Linked DNA regions of Rattus norvegicus. The protein of the gene in region 1 binds, or shares a complex with, the protein of each later gene. Links are inferred from orthologs where the notes say so. Each region holds a gene or a part of one and is shown on either strand. Other genes may lie near its edges.

Evidence for each region. The genes of interacting proteins can lie anywhere in the genome.
Region 2: the proteins of Nmt1 (region 1) and Hpca are in contact, whole or in part, in a crystal structure (PDB 7OWM), measured with the Homo sapiens proteins. The link is inferred for Rattus norvegicus from reciprocal best matches to the Homo sapiens genes NMT1 and HPCA. Residues at the interface, in NP_066565.1 of Homo sapiens: Tyr180, Val181, Glu182, Asp183, Asp184, Asp185, Met187, Phe188, Arg189, Phe190, Tyr192, Ile245, Asn246, Phe247, Thr282, Ala283, Gly284, Tyr296, His298, Ser300, Lys310, Phe311, Ser312, His313, Tyr401, Leu403, Ser405, Tyr420, Gly468, Ile469; in NP_002134.2 of Homo sapiens: Gly2, Lys3, Gln4, Asn5, Ser6, Lys7, Leu8, Arg9.
Region 3: the proteins of Nmt1 (region 1) and Ncs1 are in contact, whole or in part, in a crystal structure (PDB 5O9S), measured with the Homo sapiens proteins. The link is inferred for Rattus norvegicus from reciprocal best matches to the Homo sapiens genes NMT1 and NCS1. Residues at the interface, in NP_066565.1 of Homo sapiens: Tyr180, Val181, Glu182, Asp183, Asp184, Asp185, Met187, Phe188, Arg189, Phe190, Tyr192, Asn246, Thr282, Ala283, Gly284, Arg295, Tyr296, His298, Ser300, Lys310, Phe311, Ser312, Tyr401, Leu403, Ser405, Tyr420, Gly468, Ile469, Gly470, Asp471; in NP_055101.2 of Homo sapiens: Gly2, Lys3, Ser4, Asn5, Ser6, Lys7, Leu8, Lys9.

The regions. Positions count from the first base shown.
Region 1 is NC_086028.1:88,504,583-88,511,134, forward strand, and holds part of Nmt1 (glycylpeptide N-tetradecanoyltransferase 1), read left to right. Parts: intron 1-1,797; coding exon 1,798-1,942; intron 1,943-5,330; exon of another isoform or gene 5,331-5,556; intron 5,557-5,907; coding exon 5,908-6,026; intron 6,027-6,552.
Region 2 is NC_086023.1:146,743,935-146,751,229, reverse strand, and holds the start of Hpca (neuron-specific calcium-binding protein hippocalcin), read left to right. Parts: upstream 1-2,871; 5' UTR 2,872-3,045; coding exon 3,046-3,423; intron 3,424-7,295. UniProt on the Homo sapiens protein: Calcium-binding protein that may play a role in the regulation of voltage-dependent calcium channels. May also play a role in cyclic-nucleotide-mediated signaling through the regulation of adenylate and guanylate cyclases.
Region 3 is NC_086021.1:34,918,028-34,925,372, forward strand, and holds the start of Ncs1 (neuronal calcium sensor 1), read left to right. Parts: upstream 1-2,921; 5' UTR 2,922-2,981; coding exon 2,982-3,045; intron 3,046-3,217; exon of another isoform or gene 3,218-3,329; intron 3,330-7,345. UniProt on the Homo sapiens protein: Neuronal calcium sensor, regulator of G protein-coupled receptor phosphorylation in a calcium dependent manner. Directly regulates GRK1 (RHOK), but not GRK2 to GRK5. Can substitute for calmodulin. Stimulates PI4KB kinase activity.

The sequences.
Region 1 (6,552 bases):
TAGATGTGTCTGTGTATGTGGATGCACATGCTTATGGAGGGGAGGCCCGTGTGCCACGGCCTACCTGTAAGAGTCCAAGGACAGTTTGGCAGTTGGTGCTCTTTTTCCACTGTGTGGGTCCTGGGGACTGAACTCAGGCCTAGTAGGAAGTACCTTTAGATAAGTCATTTTGTCAGTTCCCAGTTTTACTATTTAAAAAAAAAAAAATCTATGCTTTTAGACCTTGCATGCAAAGAAGTATGGGGTTCTGTATATTTCTCAAAATTTCAGATTAAAACTGCTCATAATGAGGATCGTAGTTGGGAGGGTAGGGTTGATTGTTTTTGTGGGTCTCGGTTTTTTGCTTGCATGCACGTCTGTGCACCACATGTGTACAGGGTGAGTGGAGGTCAGAAGAGAGTATCAGATCCCCTGGGACCAGAGTTGAAACACTTGTGAGCCTCCATGTGTGTGCTAAAAATCAAACCTAGGTCCTGTAGAAGAACTGCCGAGCTGCTTCTCCACTCCCACTGCCCCCTGTATTTTTTAAGACAGTATCTTATGTTGCCCATGCTGGCCTGAACTTCTGATCCTCGTATTTAGGCCTCTCAGGTACTGGGACGACAAACCTACAGCACCGCACCCGGCTACAGGCTTTTCTCCCTGTGCTTTCTACTCTGCATTGCTTGAAAGTTTGCAGTCAGCTCCATTACTTTTGGCATAAACAGCATGAGACTGGGATGGGGAGGAATACCCGAGGACATCCAAGTGTGGCGGCACACACTGGTAATGAAGCAGAGGCAAGATGAACTGAAAGTTTGAGGTCATCCTGGGTTACATGATTTCCAGGCCAGCCAATACCTCGAAATGAGACCCCCATCTCAAGACAAAAAAACAACCAAACAAAAACCCCAAAAAGAACAAAAAAATCAAAGCAACAAAATCCCATAGGCAGCGCCCCATTACTAATTCTCAACGGCTCTTTTCTCCATGTCTTATGATTCGTACTAAAGACCCACACCCTGGTTTTGGATAGTATTCTTTGACTTTTGAACGCTTGGTCATATGTTTGTGTGTACTTGGTCGTGAGTGTTACACATGCTATGTAGAAGCCTGAGGTCAGTGTTGGTTTTCTTCCTTAACCACTTGCCACCTGTTTTGTTTTTTTCAAGGCAGGGTTTCTCTGTGTAGCCTTCCCTGTCCTAGACCAGGCTGGCCTCACTGGGACTAAAGGCGTGCGCCACCATCGCCCAGGCTTGTCACCTCATCTTTGAGACAGGTTTCTCACTGAATCCAGAGCTTTGTGGTTTGGCTGGGTTGGTTGGCCCACAGCCCCTAGGGATCCCCCTAGCTCTGCCTCCCCAGCAGCACAATTACACAGAGACTACCATTGCTAACTTTTGTTTATGTGGGTGCTAGAGGTCGAACTCAGGGCCTCTTTACCGACTGAGCCATCTCTGCAGCTCTGAACTGTTGTATGTTTGTTTGTTTGTTCTTTTTGATACAAGGTCTCATGTAGCCAAGGTTGGCTTTGACTTCTAATTTTCCTGCCTCTACCTCCTGAGAGCTAGGATTAGATTTGCACTCCAGTTCCAAGCTAACTATTTGAGACAGGGTTTCGCCATTAAGCTCTAGTTGGCCTGGAGCTCTCCGTGTAAAGCAAGCTGGCTCACAGAGATTTGCCTGTCTCTGTCTCCCAGTGCTAGAATTAAAGGCTTGCTTCACCATGCATGGCCTCGCCAACTCTCAAATTCACAGTGAATCGTTAAGTCTCGCTAACACAATGGGCCTTTTTTTTTCTCCAACTGTCTTGCCCAGATGAACTCTTTGCCAGCAGAGAGGATCCAGGAAATACAGAAAGCCATTGAGCTGTTCTCAGTGGGTCAGGGGCCCGCCAAAACCATGGAGGAAGCCAGTAAACGAAGCTACCAGTTCTGGGATACACAGCCAGTGCCCAAATTAGGTATGTGCCTCCTTTTCCAGGTGAGAGCAAGGAGTGGGCCTTAGCCACACCTCTGTATGGGTTTTATAAGGGAGGGCTGGGAGGGCCTAGAGTTCTTGGGTAAGGCTAGTCCTTAGAAGAAATGTATAAAAGACTATTGTTGAGAGACCTTATCATTTCAGGGCAGACACACAGAACAAAGATGGTTCTTTTTAGTCCTTTCTTCTCTTAAATAAATCTTCAGAGAACGACATCATAACCCATGATAAGTGGGAATATCTGACTTCCCTCTTAAATTAGTGAAAGGCTGTTTTGTTTGTATAGACAAATGTGAACTCTGGACTGGGGAGAGTCCGCAGGCTCCTCCACTCCCCTCAGGGAGTGCTTACTAAATTCAAATGCAGTCATGGCTCACTTCTGAGGGGCACATGTGGGCTTCATCAGGGGGCCTTAAAAGCCACAGTGAAGTTAGGGGGTGGGACACACCTTTGCTTCCATTACCTGGAGGCAGAAGCAGGTAGATCCTGTCTTTGAGGCTATCCGGTCTACAGGGGGAGTTTCAGCCCAGCAAAGCTACATCATAGTGAGAGCCCCGTCCAAAAAAAAACAAAACTAAAAAAATGATATAATAAACTTATAAAGGGATTGGACAGACAAGTCCCAAAAGTATTCCAGAAAAGACTGCACATACTGGAGTTAGAGATGTCTACTAGGTCTGAACCACAGCTGACCTGGGTGGCCAACCTCAGGGCCTCTGGTGGACAAAGGCTCTATGAGTGATTCAGGGACCCAAGTCTTGCTTCTTATGTCTGTAGTTGAGGAAGTAAATCTGTATTTTGTCTTAGTTAGGGTTTTACTGCTGTGAACAGATACCATGACCAAGGCAACTCTTATAAGGACAGCATTTAATTGGGGCTGGCTCACAGGTTCAGAGGTTCAGTCCATTATCATTGAGGAGGGAGCATGGCAGCATCCAGGCAGGCATGGTGCAGGAGGAGCTAAGAGTTCTACATCTTCATCTGGAGGCTGCTAGAAGACTGACTTCCAGGCAGCTAGGATGAGGGTCTTAAAGTCCATGCCCACAGTGGCACACCTACTCCAACAAGACCACACCTCCTAATAGTGCCATGTCCTGGGCTGAGCATATACAAACTGTCACATGTTTTCTTCTAATATCCATATATTGTTAAAATATATGGGGGTTGGGGATTTAGCTCAGTGGTAGAGCGCTTGCCTAGGAAGCGCAAGGCCTTGGGTTTGGTCCCCAGCTCCGAAAAAAAGAACCAAAAAAAAAATATATATGTATATATGTATGCGTGTGAATATGTGCCTTGAGTACAGACCCAGGAAACAGACAGTTGCGAGCCACCCAATACAGATTCTGGGAAGTGATTTTGGGTCTTCTGCAGTGTGTACTCTTAACCGCTGAGCCATCTCTCCAGCACATTTTGTTTTATAAAACAAAACTCAAGCCCTAACACCAAAAGTAAGAGATGGTCAAGTTGTCAGTGCCACTGTTCTGCAGAAACATTGTGACATTTGCAGTACACTGTGGTTAGGAGGGCAGAGCCAAGTCAAAAACCAGGAAGTAAAAAGACAGCTCTGTTCCGTGGCATTTGTCTGTCACCTGACTGGCGTTTTCTGATTTACAGTGGTCTGTGTCATGACAAAATGAAAATGGCCAGGTGTGGGGGCACATGCCTTTAATCCCAGCTTTCAGGCAGCGGAGGCATCTCTGAGTTTCGAGGCCAGCCTGGTCTGTACAGTGAGTTCTAGGACAGCGAGGGCTGTTGCACAGAGAACCCCAAAAAAGAGGTTCTCTCAAAAAAGAGAAAGAACTAAATCTGGGTGGGCATGGCATATACCTCTGTAAAACAAAATTTGTTGAGTGATTTTATTTTTCAATTATGTGGGGGCAAAGGAAATGACTCAGTGGTTAGGAACACTTGTCCAGGTAGAAGACCCAGGTTCCGTTCCAGCACTAGGTGGTGGCTGGCAACCATTCTTTTTTTTTTTTTTTTTTTTTTTTTTTAAAGATTTATTTTATTATATATAAGTACACTGTAGCTGTCTTCAGACACACCAGAAGAGGGCATCGGATCTCTTTACAGATGGTTGTGAGCCACCATGTGGTTGCTGGGAATTGAACTCATGACCTCTGGAAGAACAGTCGGGTGTTCTTAACCACTGAGCCATCTCTCCAGCCCCGCTGGCAACCATTCTTAACTCCAGGTCCAGGAGATCTGACCTCTTCGGCTGACCTCCATGGACACCATATATATACATGCAGGCAAAACACTCATGCACACAAGAAACAAACAAGCTTAAATGTGCCTGTGCCTGCGTGTGTTAGGTATGCCTTTGCCCTCAGAGGGCAGTTAGGAGCCGCCTGACATGGGTGCTGGCAATGGAACTGAACTGAAGAGCAGCAGTGCTCTGCCCCGGAGCCGTCTTCCAGCCACCATCCATGTAGGGTCTGAGGCAGATCATTGATGTTTTTTGGCATGTTGGTATACACAGTACAATGTGCCCATGTGTGTTCAGAGCCAAGGCTACAGTGAAGTCACATGACACTGCCTGAACTACCTCAGATTCCATACATGTTTAATTTTCAATTTGTTTTTGGTTTTGCTATTGCTGAATTTTTCTTGACACCCCCACACTTTGACTTACGTAACCCAAGGTTACAATTCACAGTTTCAGAAGCTTCGGTCTGGGTAACTGTTGTTAGGTGCCCTGAGTGAGCCTTCAGACCTCTTCGATCTGTCATTCTGTCTAGCTACCCTCTTTCCTTGTCCTGTTGAGGGGAGCAGGCTCTCCTCCCTCTGAGGCTCATAACCTGCCTTTACCTCATGCTGCTCTAGGCTTTGCACGACGGGCATGGGAGGTGTTGTACTGAGCTTGCCACCTCCGACAGGGGAAGTTGAGTGTCTGCGGACTGTTGTGGAGTGCTGGCTATCAGATGCATACCTGGAATCCAGCACTGGGAGGCTGAGACAGGATTGCTGAGAGCACAAGGACAGCCTTGGCTACTTAGTATTCTCTTTTAAAAAAGAGGGGGGGGGCAAAGTAAACAAAACCTATTGAAAGGGAGGGTTCGCCTGCCTGGGTTTCCTCTCCAGCCTCATCTGGTTTCAGTTCCTCCCTCCATCTCAGCTTCCAAGCTCTTGGCAGAGGAGGGGTTGTGTCAGAGGGTGACTTCCCGGCAGCATCATGCAGGAGGGTGATTCAACCCAAAGGCATCTCTAGGGCTCAAAGCCCTGATGCCCTGACCTGGCAGTTGCTGGGCCACAGGCCTGGAGGCTGAAGCTGGAAGGCTGAGAGACCCTGGCTGCCAGAGCTATCATCTGACTGAAGGGCGAGCCCGGAACACTGTCGTTGGTCTTGACACAAAGGCAGGCTTATGCAACCTTACAAACCTCCAGTCAGGGAAGAGTGTCTGGGCTAGAACATGACGACACCCTACACCCACCAGGAGACAGGAAGCCAAAGTAGCCATGGTGTTTGTCCTTCAGGAGCCTGTGGTGAGAAGGATTTCCCAAACTGAGCCACCGTGGATCCTAGAGATTATTCTGAGTGTTTTGTGGACATTCGCCCTCAACTGGGGGTCAAAGGTGACTGGAGAGAGATTACAGGTACCAAGCATAGAGTGTTCTTCAGCTGCAGGGTTCCTAGGGATGGCAGAAATTTACTCTGGTTTGTTTGTTTGTTTGTTTTCTGAGACAGGGTCTATGTCACCCAGACTGGCCTTACACTCACTGTGCAGTGGAAAATGACTTTGAAGTTCTGGTCCCTCTGCCTCTCCTGAGTGCTGGAGTTACAGGCTTGTCCCACTCTGCCCCAGTTATTTAGTACTAGGAATTACACGCACAAGCAAGGCAGCCACTCTACCAGCTGAACTCCTAGCCTTCCAGGGAATGTCTTCAGTGAGCTCCTCCTCGCATGCTGTGGGCAGACAATGGACTTGGGCTGTGCTCTTCTTCTAGGTGAAGTGGTAAACACCCATGGCCCTGTGGAACCTGACAAAGACAACATTCGCCAGGAGCCCTACACCCTACCCCAGGGCTTCACTTGGGATGCCTTGGACCTGGGAGACCGTGGTGTGGTGAGTAGGCCTGGCTTGCAGTGGGGACAGGACTCAGATGAGCCTCAGAGAGCGGAACAGATCCCATCTGGCACTTCCTGGGCGTGCCCAGACTCCGTACAGTAACACAAGCGTGTCACACTTTTTTTTTTTTTTTTTTTTTTTTAATCTTTTTACTAGTGGGATAGGGCTGGGAGGACAGGAGATGGGGAGTAAGAGCACATGTAGGCATTGGGTACATCCCTGTGGAGATGGAGGACAGCACTGTGACTGACGTCATTTCTCTCCTGCCTTACTTGAGCTCCAGGATTGGACTCAGGTCATTAGACTGGTGCAGTACCAAGTTTTTACCTACTTGGGCCAACTGATGGGGACAGCTATGAAGGCAGAAAGGGGACTTAAGTCCATTGGGCTAAATGAAAAAAATCCAGTCATGGTGCTTGTTTGTTTGTTTAATACGGCAGTGATGTCCTGGGAGTAAGTGATTTCATAACCAGTCCTCAAAATCGTTTCTCCAAAGCTTGTTCACAGATGGCTCAGAGTAATC
Region 2 (7,295 bases), on another chromosome or scaffold:
GGACATGCTTCTGTACTGGCCGGTCACAGGCCTGCATTCGCCTAGGCTACGGGAAGAGAGGATACAGTACCTTGCCTGGAGGAGTACTGGGAAGAGCTAGGTACATGGATGGTGGGAGGTGGGATTAATTCTTAGAGGGACTGGGGGATGACATTCAGTGTAGTAGGCAGGAAAGGGGGTCGGGCTCTCTGCGGCGGAGGTAGCAGGGGGCGTGTCTGGCCCCTGGAAGACCTTGGAACTGAGGCATAGGCTCTCCCTCCTCCCTAGAGAGCCCCCAGTTCATCTGGCTCCGGAGTTGAGGTGCGGGGGCAGCGAGGGTGCCTATCGGATTCCGCCCTCGGAGCGGGGCGACAGGCGGCCCCGCGCCCAGGTAAGGGTGGATTGTTCCTGGCTTAGGAGAGCAGTCCCTGGACACTGACCCGCCTCTTTCCTTGCCCCTCCGGGTCGGCTTGCAGAGCTGGGGGTCCGGATCATCCTCCCAGGGTGAAGTGCTCCCTAGAGAGGGGGCCGGGGCATCGAGGGCGTTCCGTTCTCTCTCCCGGGAGGGGGCGGGGGCGGAGCCTAGCTGCCGGCGGGGGACCCCCCCAGGGGAGGGGCTCCGGGCCAACGCTGCGGGGCGTCTCCTTCACAGTCTCGCCCGCCCCTCTGGCCGCCTCTGCCGCCGCGCGCCGCAGCAGCGCCGCCTTCCCTGCGCAGTCGGTGTCTCGGCGTTGCTGGGTGAGTGGGGGCCGCTCGAGCCGGGGTCGGGGATGAGGGGAGGGAAGCCTGGGAGCCAGGAACCCAAGTCCAGTGTTCCCCAGCCCGCTCCTCCCCGAGCTTCGTGGAATTCCTCCCACCCGCGGCGCTGCCAGCCCCGGGCTGCCCCGGGGGAAATCGCACGGCGCTCTCCAGGGTCCTGACCGCCAAGTGGCCGGCTCCCGGGAGTCGCGCGTCGACCGTCCCGGGCGCCCCCTCCAGGAGGTACCTCGAACCCAGTGCGGGAAGGATGGAGGCGGGGGCTCAGGGCCGGCGCCGGGGAGGTTTGGAGGGGATGCTAGGGCGGGTTTCTCAGATCGAGCTGTGAGATTCCTCCTATTTTGGGCACTGGGGGTCTTTGAGGAGAAAACACATTTCTTCCAGCTGGGAAAGGCAATGCCGAGGGTGGCCGAGAGGAAGGGGCACCTAGAGGAGCGCTCCTGCTCAGCGCATCACTCTGCCCCCGCCCCGCTGACCCAGTTCCTTGGACCTTGAGGAGGGGAGTAAGGGACACGCTCCCTTGTTCAGCCCTGCGCATTTCCTCAGTCCCTTCCCACACACTTGTTCCGTGGCTTCTCAGCCTGGGGCAGAAGAGGCTGATCCAGAAAGGAGGGAGCACCAACTTACAGGAACATGCATGACACACACTACTGAGGACAGACACAGGTCCCCTCACATTCCTGGGGAACGTTCCTCTCTGTGACAGGTGCATGCCCGCTCAACACGCATATAGAATTCACATGCAGACATGCACGGAAACGCATAGGGAGATAGATGCGGTGCAGAGCCCAGGACCCACATCATGGGTGAGCATACGCATTCAACACGCACCCACACACATGTGCACACACATGTGCATAGAGCTTCATGTACCCACATGCACAGGAACCCTTTTCATCCTGTCTTACTCGTATCTCCAACCTCAGGACCCACTTGCACACACCCCTACACCTATGCTTATGACTGCCCGGCTACTTCCCCTCTGTCACTTGTGCTTGCCTTACACTTTAATCCCTGCCCTGAGGGGACCTTTTGAAACCAGAGAAAATGTGAGTGATGAGGGAGGTTTGGGTGGGCTGGGTAGGCTCCCCAAGAAAAAGAGTCCTCCTCAGGTCTGAGGAAGGGCTGCAGCTCCCTCTCCTGGGACCTGGCAGCACCTCGGGGATAGAAAGACAAATGACAAGGGTGCCTGAAGGTCCCACGTGCAGCTGGCCATGTGAGAGGTGTCGGCATTCGAGTTGGCGTGTCATGGCATGTGTGAGACATGTGGGGTCGTGGGCTGGTGTGTCTTGATGCTTGGTGTATGGGAGTTGTGCGTGGTGCTGTGTGTCAGTGCGTGTGAGTTGTGTGGGGCAGTGGGATTATTGCGTGTGGAGGCACGGTGACCCATGTGGGGTAGAGGCTAGTATGTGAGTGGCAGAGAGCCTAGGGAGAACTCGGTGATCTGTGTGGCATCATGTGTGCTGGGGGACATGCACTTGCATATCAAGCCTGATCTTTGTGGAATCTGGATACATGTAAATCATTTTTACCCATTTAACATGCATGTCGCACCTGCCTCCTCAGACATGATTCCAACATGTTCACAGGTATTAACTAATTTAATTCCCGAGATAACCCTATGAAGTAAGTGCTATTATTAAACCCCCTTTGTGGTTGAGACAGAGAGTTTAAGGAAACTGTCCAAGGCACACAGCTGTTAGGAGGGAAAGCTGGTATTTGAGCCCAGGAGTTCTGGCTTCGGGGTCCAGGTTAATAACCCCCTGTTAAGCATATCTTCAGGAAGAAAATCAGTGTCCGAACAGCAAGTCCGCTGTGGAGTCAACAGACCTCTGGGAAGCCAGGAATGGGGCAGCAGGTGCAAAGGGGGGTTCAGAAGCGTTTCTGCACCCTTCTAGGACACTCTGGGAGTCAGCTCTATTGATAGTGTCCTTGTGATCTGTAGCAGACCACCTTACTTTTCTGAGCCTCCCTTCTCATGTAGAAAATGGAGCCAACCCAATGTCCCCTTAGGAGGGTGAAAATGTGTACTTGTGAATGGGCTTACCACGGACAGCCAGAAGGGTGTCAGTGAGCGTGAGCTGGACCCTTCCTTCTTCTTTGTGTCTGTTCCCCAGACATGCACGTCACAGAGCAGAGTGTGTGGTCTGGGGCCACCTCTCTCTTTTTGGGTCAAATGAGAGTTTGGGGTATCTTGTGTCTGAGGGCCCTTCTGGAGTAGTGTCAAGGGACTAAAAGGACGTAACCATTGCTCTCTCCTTTCACTTCCTTTGGTTGGGGGGAACCCAGGTGGGACTTGGCTCTTCTGCCATGGGCAAGCAGAATAGCAAGCTGCGGCCAGAGATGCTGCAGGACCTGCGAGAGAACACCGAGTTCTCTGAGCTGGAGCTTCAGGAGTGGTACAAGGGCTTCCTGAAGGACTGCCCGACTGGCATCCTCAACGTGGATGAGTTCAAGAAGATCTACGCCAACTTCTTCCCCTACGGCGATGCCTCCAAGTTCGCCGAGCATGTCTTCCGCACTTTTGACACCAACAGCGACGGCACCATCGACTTCCGGGAGTTCATCATCGCTCTGAGCGTGACCTCGCGTGGCCGCCTGGAGCAGAAGCTCATGTGGGCCTTCAGCATGTACGACCTGGACGGCAATGGCTACATCAGCCGGGAGGAGATGCTAGAAATTGTGCAGGTGAGCGACCATCGACATTGGCTTCTCAGCCTCCGTTTCTGAACCCCTCCCCCCCTTTTTTTAGCCTCTGGACATACCTGGTCCCGAGTAGTGGCAGAGGATGTTTTTCTCATCCTATTTACAAAAATCTTTTAGAATGAAACGACTTTCCATTGAAAGAAAAGCAGAAAGCTAAAACTACTGTAGAGTTAGAGGCAGGAGGGTCAAGAGTTCAAAACTAGCCTTAGCTACCAAATGAATTTTTTTTTCTTTTTTCTTTTTTTCAGAGCTGGGGACCGAACCCAGGGCCTTGCGCTTGCTAGGCAAGCGCTCTACCATTGAGCTAAATCCCCAACCCCTGAATTATTTTTTTAAAGATTTATTTTTATTTGTATGAGTACACTGTAGCTGTCTTCAGATACCAGAAGAGAGCATCGGATCCCATTACAGATGGTTGTGAGCCACCATGTGGTTGCTGGGAATTGAACTCAGGACCTCTGGAAGAGCAGTCAGTGCTCTTAACCACCCTGAGCCATCTCTCCAGCCCAACCAAATGAATTTGAGGCTAGCCTAGACATTATGAAACTGTCTCCCCTCCCCCACTAACCCATCAAAGGAGAGAAAGAAAACCCTAGAAAGTTCCTGAGTATCCTTAGTCCACACTCAGCTAGAGAGTTTCCTGGCGTTTAGTATCGCTGTGCACCCTGGTTTCTGGCTGTTCTCAGGATTCATCCTTTACCTCTCCGGTAAGAGATGTATTTCCTAAGAATAAGACATTCTCTTACATAAGCCATAGTATGATTAACCAAGTTAAGCAAGTCAAGATAGTTAACACAGAATAGAAACAACACTGTTCCTATGCCATTGTCCACTCTCTTCAGAATGTTCCCTGTTGCTCCCCCCTCCCCCTTGCTGGTCTGGGATCCTACATTGAATTTTGTTTCTCGTTATATTTATTGAGAGACAGGATTTCACTCTGTCGCCGTGGCTAGCCTGGAATTCACTTTATAGATCAGGTTGTTCTCCAACTCACAGAGACCCACCTGTCCTTTCATGTTGAGCGCTGGGATTAAAGGCGCTCCTCTGTACCTGGCTTTGTTATTCTGGTTTAATTTGGAATAGTCCCTCCCCTTGCTTTGTCTTTCCCATCTTGACATTTCTGATTTACGCAAGTTATATTTGGTTTGGTTTGGTTGGAGACAGGTCTCTCTAAGTAGCTCAGACTGGCTTTGAACTCATGATCCTCTTGCCTTAGCCCCTGAGCCATAAGGTTACAGGCATGTTTCCCTGTCCAGCTATGCTTGCTCATTCATTCATTCATTCATTCATTCATTCATTCATTCATTCATTCATCTGCTAGCTGTGTTCTATCAGCCAACCTCATCCCCAGCTTACAAGTCCTGTTTTATTGATCCTCATTTACTGAGGAGGAAAAATGCTTTGAAAGAAGAAGGCACTTGCTGGAGATCTCACCGCCTGAGTGGGCCACTTGTCTCCAACGTTCACATGCCATCTGGACACCCAGCCATCGCCTAACTAATTGACAGAGGCACCACCAGAAACCAGCACTGCCTGAGATACTGAAACCCCTGAGCTGGGCACGGCCTTAGGGCAGTCCCGTGTGTCTCAGACAGGTAGGGCCACTTGCTTGACGTAGATCGAGCCCAGGCTGGCCACGGCTCCAAGCTGCCTTTTATGAAGGCTCTGAGCTCTCAGGCAGGAGAGGAGGCTTCCAATTCTGGACAGGCTTTAGCTCTTGTGCTGCTCATCTGTAAAAGTGGAGCAGACACAGCGAGGCTGATTGCATGAGGAGATTTAGAGACTTGTCATAAATGTCTTTTCTTAGTACCAACTTAAGTATGAAATGCATTAGGTTTATTTCGGAAGCCTTCCGCGGCACGGTGTCCCCTTAGCTCACTGAAGGCGGTCAGTGCTGAGATTCTATTTTACCCGCCTGCTCCTCGTCCACTTCAGACATTTGTTTTTAGACAGGATCCCCATCCCCCACCCCTCTCTCTGTAGCCCTGGCTGGCCTCTAAACAGTTTAAAATTATATTTTTATTTATTTATGGGTAGGGCTCATGCTGGAGAATCAGTCCTCCTTCTCCTTTATGCAGATCCTGGGGATTGAACTAGGGCTGTCAGATTTGTCTGCAAGCATCCTAACAGAAAGTCATAAACCCACTGGCTTTTTTCCACTACTCCAAGGCACTGGTAGAGATCAAGAGCTCTGTTGGGGTTGGGGATTTAGCTCAGTGGTAGAGCGCTTGCCCACCAAGCGCAAGGCCCTGGGTTCGGTCCCCAGCTCCGAAAAATAGAAAAGAAAAAAAAAAAAAAAAAAAAAGAGCTCTGTTGAGGGCTATGTAGGTACCCGGTACTTGATACTCGGTACTCGGTACTTGGTACGCGGTGGATGTTAGTGACTGAGGGACTCAGACATGGCAAGCATGACTCTGGCAGGCTCCCCCCTCCCGCCCCCAATCCCCTCTGCCTTGCTAAAAACTGTTAGCATTTTCAAAGCTAGCCCCCAAGGTCTATTCCCTTATTTGGCCACTCCCTCCTTCTGAGGCTGACTGCAAAGGCCTAGCTGTTAAAGTATTGAAGTCCAGCAATCAAAAGCCCCCTTTGGCTTGCCTAATTAACATGTCAATTAAAATTAAACACCTCATCTTACCAAGGGGTTTCCCCTTTGCCTTTTTTTTTTTTTTTTTTGGTTCTTTTTTTTTTTTTTTCCCCCCCGGAGCTGGGGACCGAACCCAGGGCCTTGCGCTTCCTAGGTAAGCGCTCTACCACTGAGCTAAATCTCCCCTTTGCCTTTATAAACCGCCATTTTCCTATGGGCCACATCTGTCTCCTCTCTATCCAGAGGCAGTCCTTTGTCCTCTGGGACAAATTCTCCACCTCTGTCACCCACCCCCCCACACACACACCATGTTCCCCTCCCCTTCTCCCTCATTCTCTATCTCTTGGCTTTGTCTCTTATTCCCTGCCCTCTGTTCCTTTGGAGCAAATGAATCTCTATTGTGCCGAGAACCTGGTTCTAGTGGTCCTGAGCCATCCTTTTCCTCTTGGTGACTGTCCGTCATTCTTCTTCTCACCCATCTCCTGCACTGGCTAACATGGCCTTGTGAGCATCCCTAAGATGCGTGTTGAGAACTGCTGCCACATAGCTCTGCACAAGGATCCTTCGTACATCTGAGCACCCTTCCCTTTTAGCCTCCTCTGCTTCGTGGGCTGATATCCACTCCAGCTCGCCCAGTCCACTGGCTCCCCCTCTTGCTGGGGACGTGGATCTCAGTCTCTAGCTTGAGTGGAATGGCTGCTGCCTGTCTTGGGAAGTGATATTTTCCACTATGTTGCCTCAGTGGTGGTCCCAGGAGCCTCCGGATCATGCAGTCCTTTTTGGAGGCAGGATGATGGGGAATTCTGGGGGGTCAAAGTAGTGGCATTGTCATTTAGGGATTCGCTGGATATCAACGAGTTCAGAGACATGTTCTTTTTCCAATCGTACACTGGTAAATCTCAGCCCTGCTGAAGCCACCACACCCAGTGCAGCAGTTAGCGAGTCCATTCCTTAGGCACCCCCGGACATTTTTTTTTCTTTTCTTTTTTTCCGGAGCTGGGGACCGAACCCAGGGCCTTGCCAGGGCCTTGCTCTTGCTAGGCAAGCGCTCTACCACTGAGCTAAATCCCCAACCCCCGGACATTTTTTTAAAAACCAGTTTCTGCCCTCTAGACCCTGGCCTCCTCTATGTCACCCCAGAGGCTCCAGACAGCTGAAGCAGACGGAGCTTGTGAGCCCCAGGGCCTGATTAATGACAAGTAGGCTCCAGTGAGACTCTGAGCTAGCAAGCGATGCAGACAATTATTTAGAAGGATTGTCACAAGGGGAA
Region 3 (7,345 bases), on another chromosome or scaffold:
AGCTCCCCCTTCCCTGCCACACCACACCACACACACACACACACACACACACACACACACACACACACACTCACACACACCCCCAAAGTCAGCCCTTCACCTCAGCTATGCAGGTGTGTTATACCACCATGCCTGGCAAATTTGGTGGCTTTTATAAGAAGAGGCAGAGAGAGCGCTCTCTCCCTTTGTCCCTGTCCTTTTGCCTGAGGCTCTACCATTAGAGCCACCACCAGATAGTCTTTGGACCTCCAGCCTCCACAGCCATGAGCCAGAACAGACATTTGATTGTAATTCTCTCAGTCGCCCTCCTGCCCCTCCTCACCTACCCTTTGAGACTGTTCTTACCCCAGCTGTGCTCCCCCGACACTACAGAGCCTTGCTTGGTCCTCAATACCCTTCTCCCTGCTTCAAGTCTTTGACCAGATTCCATCCCAGGAGGCTCACAGATCCTCACCAGTACCTGGCATCCCCGTCTTACCTTGCTTGAGCTGTTTCTCCTTGGTTCTGTAACATATTGTCTGTTGTGTGAATTGTTCATGGTTTCTTTTTTTTTTTTTTTTTTTTTTTTTCGGAGCTGGGGACCGAACCCAGGGCCTTGCGCTTGCTAGGCAAGCGCTCTACCACTGAGCTAAATCCCCAACCCATTTTTCACGGTTTCTAATGTCCCCCTGATCGTTACATTGTGAGTTCTATTGTGGCAAGGACTTTTCCAACATCCCCAGGGGCCTGGCACATAGTAGGTGCCCAGGAAATGCTAGCCCAGTGTTAGTGACTGTGAGAAGCCAGGCACTTCCCTCACTCCCATACCCCCCAGCGTCCTGGTTCTTTGCATGGTGATGGTGACCAGTTGGTTGTCATTGGGCAAGCTGAGACATGGTCATTTCTCATGTTGGTCACTACAATGTCCCCAGTCTTTTTAAAATGTCATAGAACTGTGCTTGTCCTTGAAATGCTGTCCTTGAACTCATTATATGGCCAAGGCTGGCACTGAGCTTCTCATCCTCCTACCTCCCTCTCCTGAGGAGTGACAGGCTTGCCTCGAAGCTCTGTAAGGCTTCAGCTATTAACCCTGTTGCCTCAGTCATGGCCCATGGTTTCTGTCTGAGCAGGATGTTCAGGTGAGGCTGGCCAGCTCTGCATCTCTTTCTGTGGCTTTTCCTCAGTGTCCATTTTGAATTGATCCTCAAAGCTGGGGTACCCTGCTCCCACCTCTAGTGCAGATTCCTCCAGCTGTGGTACAGTGCCAGCTTCCAGGATCCATGCCTGCTCACTTCCTGTATGGAATGGGTCCTTCACACCAACATGCTGGAACCTGGGTCTCACTTGGGCTCATGTGTGGGAAGGAACAGAATGTCTGAAGGCCGGAGACATTTGAGGTTGAAAGGTGCCATTGCCCTGGGTAGAGCTTTATGCCCTCTGAGGGGGAGAAAAAGAAATTCTGTCTACGGTTGCATCCCCGCTGGCTTTGGAGGGGATGGCTTCATCCTGCATGGTCTTTGCAGGACTCTGGCTCCTGGCATGGGTCATTCCTTCCCCGCCCGACCTGTTTTCTGCCCTTTCCTTGAGAGGTCTCCCTCCTAATTGTTGTCTAAGCTGGTTGTGAATCAGGGACCCTACTGCCCCCTCAACCCTTCCCTGTGTGGCTGGGCTAGCTCCCAGGCCTCTGCTACTAAGGCCGGCTCACAGAGGTTGCTACTGGCCCTCAGGACCTTCTGAGAGCAGGATGTATATTTGCTCTCCCTCCCCCTGGGGGCTCATTCTTTGGGAGAAACAAGTCCCACTGAACTAAGCGGTCCAAGTTTTCCTAAGCTGTTGAGAAGACACAAGAGTTGAGCAGAAAGTCAGGAGAGGTCTCAATTACGATGATATTTTTGGGAGAAGGGCAGGGCAGGCCATGCTAATCTTTCCCTGAGGTCCCTCCCGGAGCTCCACCAGCAGGCTCTGTTGCCCTTGGTCTCTCCAAGCAAGCCTCACAACAGAGAAGGCCTAACTTCAAGTATTCCTGGGCCCCGGGGACAGAGGCCAGGTCCTTGGGCAATACGGGCTTGCCAGGCTGGTCTCCAGAAGCTCTGGTCCTTCTGCCTGGCCTCAGATCATTCCCATCCTTGCCTGGAGCCCGGGGTGTAAAGGCTGCTCTCCCTCCCAGCCAGACACCTTCCAGGTTGATGCCCCATTCCTCTCTCAACCTGATCTTAGAAGTCATTTCCCCCAAGGCCAGGCAAAAGTGTTCCCACCGCAACCCATGCCAGCCAGCACATCAGGATGCTCCCAGAGAGGCCTGGGATCGCGCCTGTCAGGTTGGCCGCCCGGTCCCCAGAGCCCAACACATCCAAGTGGAATGAATGAATCGCGCCTGGCAGGGACTTGGCCTCGTTCATGTCCGATTTTCCGGGCCCTCCCTGCCCACGCCGCTGCGGAGAGGGGGTTGGGAGGACATGGATCGGCGAAGGGGGCGGTGCGGCGACCTCCCGGCGTCCCCGGAGAGCCAACTGGAGAGGGGGGGTGCCTCAACTCGGAGATCGCGCCTGTCGGAGCTGGGCGGGAGGTGGCGCCGGGCGCTGAGTGGCGGCTCCGAGTCCACCCCTGGCGCGCCGGTGCGGGCGGGAGGCGGGGAGCGTAGGGGCGGCGGCGGCGCAGCGGTAGCGAGCATGTGCTACGCAGCCCAGTAACCAGGGACGACCGCGGCTACCGAGCCCCGGCGGCTGCGGCGCCCAGCCCCGCGCAACTCCCCGCCGTGGCCGCTTGCACCGCAAAGGCCTGGCCCTCGCCGGATCCCCGAGGCCCCTTGAACCGTCAGCTGCGGTCGCGCAGCGCGCCGGAGCCCCGCGCACGGGACGCGCGGGCACGGCCAGACAAAGGCGCGGCCCCGGCCCGGCCCAGCCCGGCCTGCGGGCCTCCGCGCACCCCGGCCCGACCCAACCGCTCCCGCTGGGCGCCCCGAGCGGGTCCGGCCCGGGGAGCGGGGGCCGCGGCCGCCGAGCATGGGGAAATCCAACAGCAAGTTGAAGCCTGAAGTTGTGGAGGAGCTGACCAGAAAAACCTACTGTGAGTGCGCCCAGATCCCGGATCCCTGATTCCCCATCGCGCCTCGACCTTCCCTCCGCCCTTCTCGGCCGCGCCCCTGCCCCGCACCTGGCCCATTGTTCTACCCGCGCCCCCGCCCCCGGCCCTGGCTGGGTGTCGCCTGTCAGCGTGCTCCAGGGACCACCCCAGGTCCTCAGGGCATCTGCAGCCCACCCACCGCCCCCTCCAGTCCGAAGGGCTCGGGCTGTGCCGGGGTGGGGGGCAAGTGGTCCCAGGAGGGGGCGCCCGGGCGTAGTGTGGCTCTCCTGCTTGGAGCATGGTGGGTGGGTGATTCATGCTTAATGATGCTGCTGCGGCTCCTGCCTCTTGCGAGGTTGGCCTGTCGCCCCCTCCCTGGCAAGTGTGACTGTGTGTTGGGAAGGAGAGGGCTGGTGAGACTGGTAGAATGCTCAGGCAGTGACTGTAAGGGTCCAAGGGTCTTGGGCGCCCTATTAGATGCCGCACTGTTGGGCTGTATTCCTGGTCTCACCCCTTCCTTGCTCCTGTCTCTGCCGCACCAGGAAATGGGTTTGTATAGTCCGAGCTGACGAGCTGACGAGTGAGGGAAGGTCTGTCCTACTCCACAGTCCTCTAGATCAGTCCCAGGGGTGGCTCTCCACGTGCCCAACTTCACAGATAAGTCTCTGCATTCACACCATGTGTCCCCCTCCTTGAAGCCTTTCCAGGGGTGGCCCTGGAAGTGGGGCCTGGGAGGCTTTGGCTGAGTGCTCTCTGCATCACCCAGAAAGACAGGCAGTTGATTGGCAGCTCCGTGGAGATGGAGGCTCTGGTGCAGTGCATGGCCTCTGCTCTCCCCTGCCCCCTATATCGGTCTTCTGAGCAGGTTTGCAGGTCTTGGCCAACCCAGTGCCTTAGCCCCGTGCTCCTTACCCTCCCAGACTTAGAACAAAGGGGGCTTTACTGCCTGGGCTCTCCTGGTCCCTGTCCCGAGGAATCAGAGAGGTCACATCCAGGAACTGCTCCTGTAGAGGTGTCCTTCCCAGCCCAGGCCACCTACTCTCCCTTCCCAGATTCAGTGGGTGGATTTTCTAGCTTGTTGTTGCTTGTGAGGTTGACCGGACCCTTGAAGGTGTGGCCCACAGTCATTAGCAGGTAGGCTGTAGGTGGAACACCCTCCCTCCCTGAATGGGCCGGGACCCCAGGGTCTGGGGAAGGTAGAGGGTTCCGTGGACTTCTCCAGGAACCATGGCACGTGGTGTACCAAGCTGTCTCCATGATGGTGAGGCTGGGGGGCCACAAATGAGTCCTGCTCACTGAGTGTGCCATGCTCACTGAGTGTGCCTCTCTGTGCCTCTCTTTTCCACCCTGGCCAAATGCTGGATTTGTAAGACCCGATGGGGGCCAAGATCCTTTTCTTCAGCCCCATCTCTGAAGGGCTGGCCTTACCTTGGGAAGAATGGGACCAGCAAAACTCTCGTTAGGCACCGGCTTGGTGGTGCTCTGCTGAGCTATTTTTAAAGGCCTTTTGTGATGTGGAGCAGTTTTGTTCAGAGATGGAGGTAGTCTGGGTGCTTTTCCTTCATCTGAGGTCTTTTTAGGGGTAGGGGGATTCACTTGCTTCTGGCTTGTCTCCCCATGGAAGCCAGCTCCCTCCAGGCAGGTCTTTCAGTGGCCCACAGCCATCTCTCGAAGATGATGGTTAATAGGTCTGCAGATCTTAGTGGGAGTAAAATAACCTCATCGGGTAAAGCAGAGCGTGCTCGCCGCTGGCGGCAGGCTCTCCTTGCTTCTCCTTTCTCATGAGGGATGGCAGGCAGCATCTCCCCACTTCCAGGGGAATTCTGAGTAGGGAGTCAAGAGACGCATCATCCAGGAAGTATTCCCAAATGTCACCATCTCCTGTCCCTCCCACTTGGCTTGCTCTTCTCTTAGGTCTGGGCTGAGCTCTGGAGTTGTATTCTCCTGGGGCTGGAGAGATGCTCAGTGCAAGCATGAGGAACTGAGGCGGGTTCCCAGTACCTGACTGAACATGTGGTTCGTGTCCACAACTCCAGCCCAGGGAAGGCAGACCTAGAGGGATCCTGGGAGCTCACTGGCCAGCCAGTCTAGTGAAATGGCCAGTTCTGGGTTCATTGAGAGACACCAGCCCAAACAATCAGGTGGAGGAACTGGAGAGATGACTTAGTGGTTAAGAATGAGCACTGCTGTTTCTTTAAGACCAGAGTTCAATTCCCAGCCCCCATGTCTGGGGCTCACAACTGCCTGTAACTACAGCTCAACCTGAGTCAAAATCTCTCGTCTCTATGGGCTCTGTATTCACGCACACAACTCCCCTAAGCTCCTTGCACATAACTTTTTTTTTTTTCCTCTCGGAGCTGGGAACCGAACCCAGGGCCTTGCACTTGCCTTGTGCTTGCCTTGCACTTGCTAGGGAAGCGCTCTACCACTGAGCTAAATCCCCAACCCCCCTTACACATAACTTAAAATAAAGCAAACCTTTAAAAGCAAAGGAAGGCGGAGAGCCATAACACCCAACATTGACCTCTGGCCTTCAGCTGGTCACCACACGGGTAGAATGCACACACACACACACACACACACACACACACACACACACACACACACACCCCACACGGTGAGAGTCATGTATTGATTTTGGTTCTTGGTTCTGGGGAGACCCAATTGAAGAAACATAGTCTGACTCATACTGCAGGTCCCTGGCTGTCCTATGCTGCAGGGTCCAGTTTGGGGACCCAGTGGCCCTGCCTCAGTCTATGTACCATCCTGGGTTGTGCGGATCTACTGTGGTTTGTGGTCCATGTGAGGCAGGGGTTGGAGGAGAGGAAAGAAGGGAGAGAGACTGAGGACTCCATGAGGAGGCTCCACGAGGACTTCACAACACATCTGGATTCACGCCTGGCTTCAGCCTAGCCAAAGATAACCTTCTTTCAGACTTAATGCTCTGGAACCTTCTGTTCTTCCTGTGCAGATGAGATTATCTGCTGACACTGTGCTCTCCTGCCCTTCTCTGGAACTCCATCTCTAAGTGCATCCGGTTAGCGAAGGGGAAGACCCCTCTACCTCTGCCCCCCAGCCTAGGCAGGACTCACAGACCAGCATGAACAGTAGTAGCAGTGCTGGGGAGAGGGGGTGGGGTCTGCCTCAGTCTCTCAGAACTGATTGGCAAGCCTGTTGTATCCTCATATAATTCAAGCTGAAGGAGAAGCCTTCCCTCTTGCTTAGCTGAGCCTTGCTTTCCTCCTCTGCAAAATGGGTATGGTCTTGGTAGTGACCAAGTGAGTAGAGGTGTAATATGGCATGTCGGGTAAGTAGCCAGGGACTCTCTCCAAATTTGTCACTATTTCGTGAAAACATTACACACACACACACACACACATGCACACACGCACACACACACACCACGCACACACACACCACGCACACCTTATCCCTGCTCCAATGCTGGGATGGAACCCAAGGCCTTACACACAATAAGCCAAGTACTCTATCAGTGAGCCCCAGCCTCAGCTTTGAGCTTCGTTATGAATCAGCCTAAAATGTCTTTGGAGGGTGGTTTCATCTCTGCAGATGGCTCTTCTTGCCATGCCAGTCTTTGTGCTTAGCACAGTAACTCAGGGATGGAGCAAGTCCTGGGCTATTTTTCCTGAGGCCCAGTAGAGCCATGGTTTTACACGGCAGCCTACCACCTTACTGGATCATGTCAGAACGGCTCCCTATCTGCCATTCACTGAGTGTCCACTCTGCTGGGCACACAGAGAAGGAGCAAGAGATACAGTTCCTGCCTCCAGCGGAAACTGGCCGAGTGGCTCACAAATTCTCTGTCCTGGTGTTCGTATATGCGAGGGGCAGAGATCCCTTTCTCCTTAGTTTCTCCCCATCCCTTGGTACTGCTGGCTGGAGACATTCACTCAGGGAGCGGAAGGAGTGGTGGTTTGCATAGGCTTTGCCCAGGGAGTGGCACTATTAGGAGGCGTGGCCTTGTTGGAGTAGGTGTGTCACTGTGGAGGCGGGCAATGAGACCCTCTGCCTGCCAGGAGACAGTCTCTCCTGGCTGCAGTCGGAACAAGATGCTCGGCTCCTCCAGCACCGTGTCTGCCTGCACGCGGCAGTGCTTCCTGCCATGATGATAATGGACTGAACCCCTGAACCTGTAAGGCAGCCCCTGTTAAATGTTGTCCTTTATAAGAGTTGTCTTGATCATGGTGTCTGTTCGCAGCAATGAAACCCTAAGACAGGGATACATTCTTGTCGGTTCCAGCTTGGCCTTGACCTGGCCTGCCAACCTTGAGCCTCTTAGGTT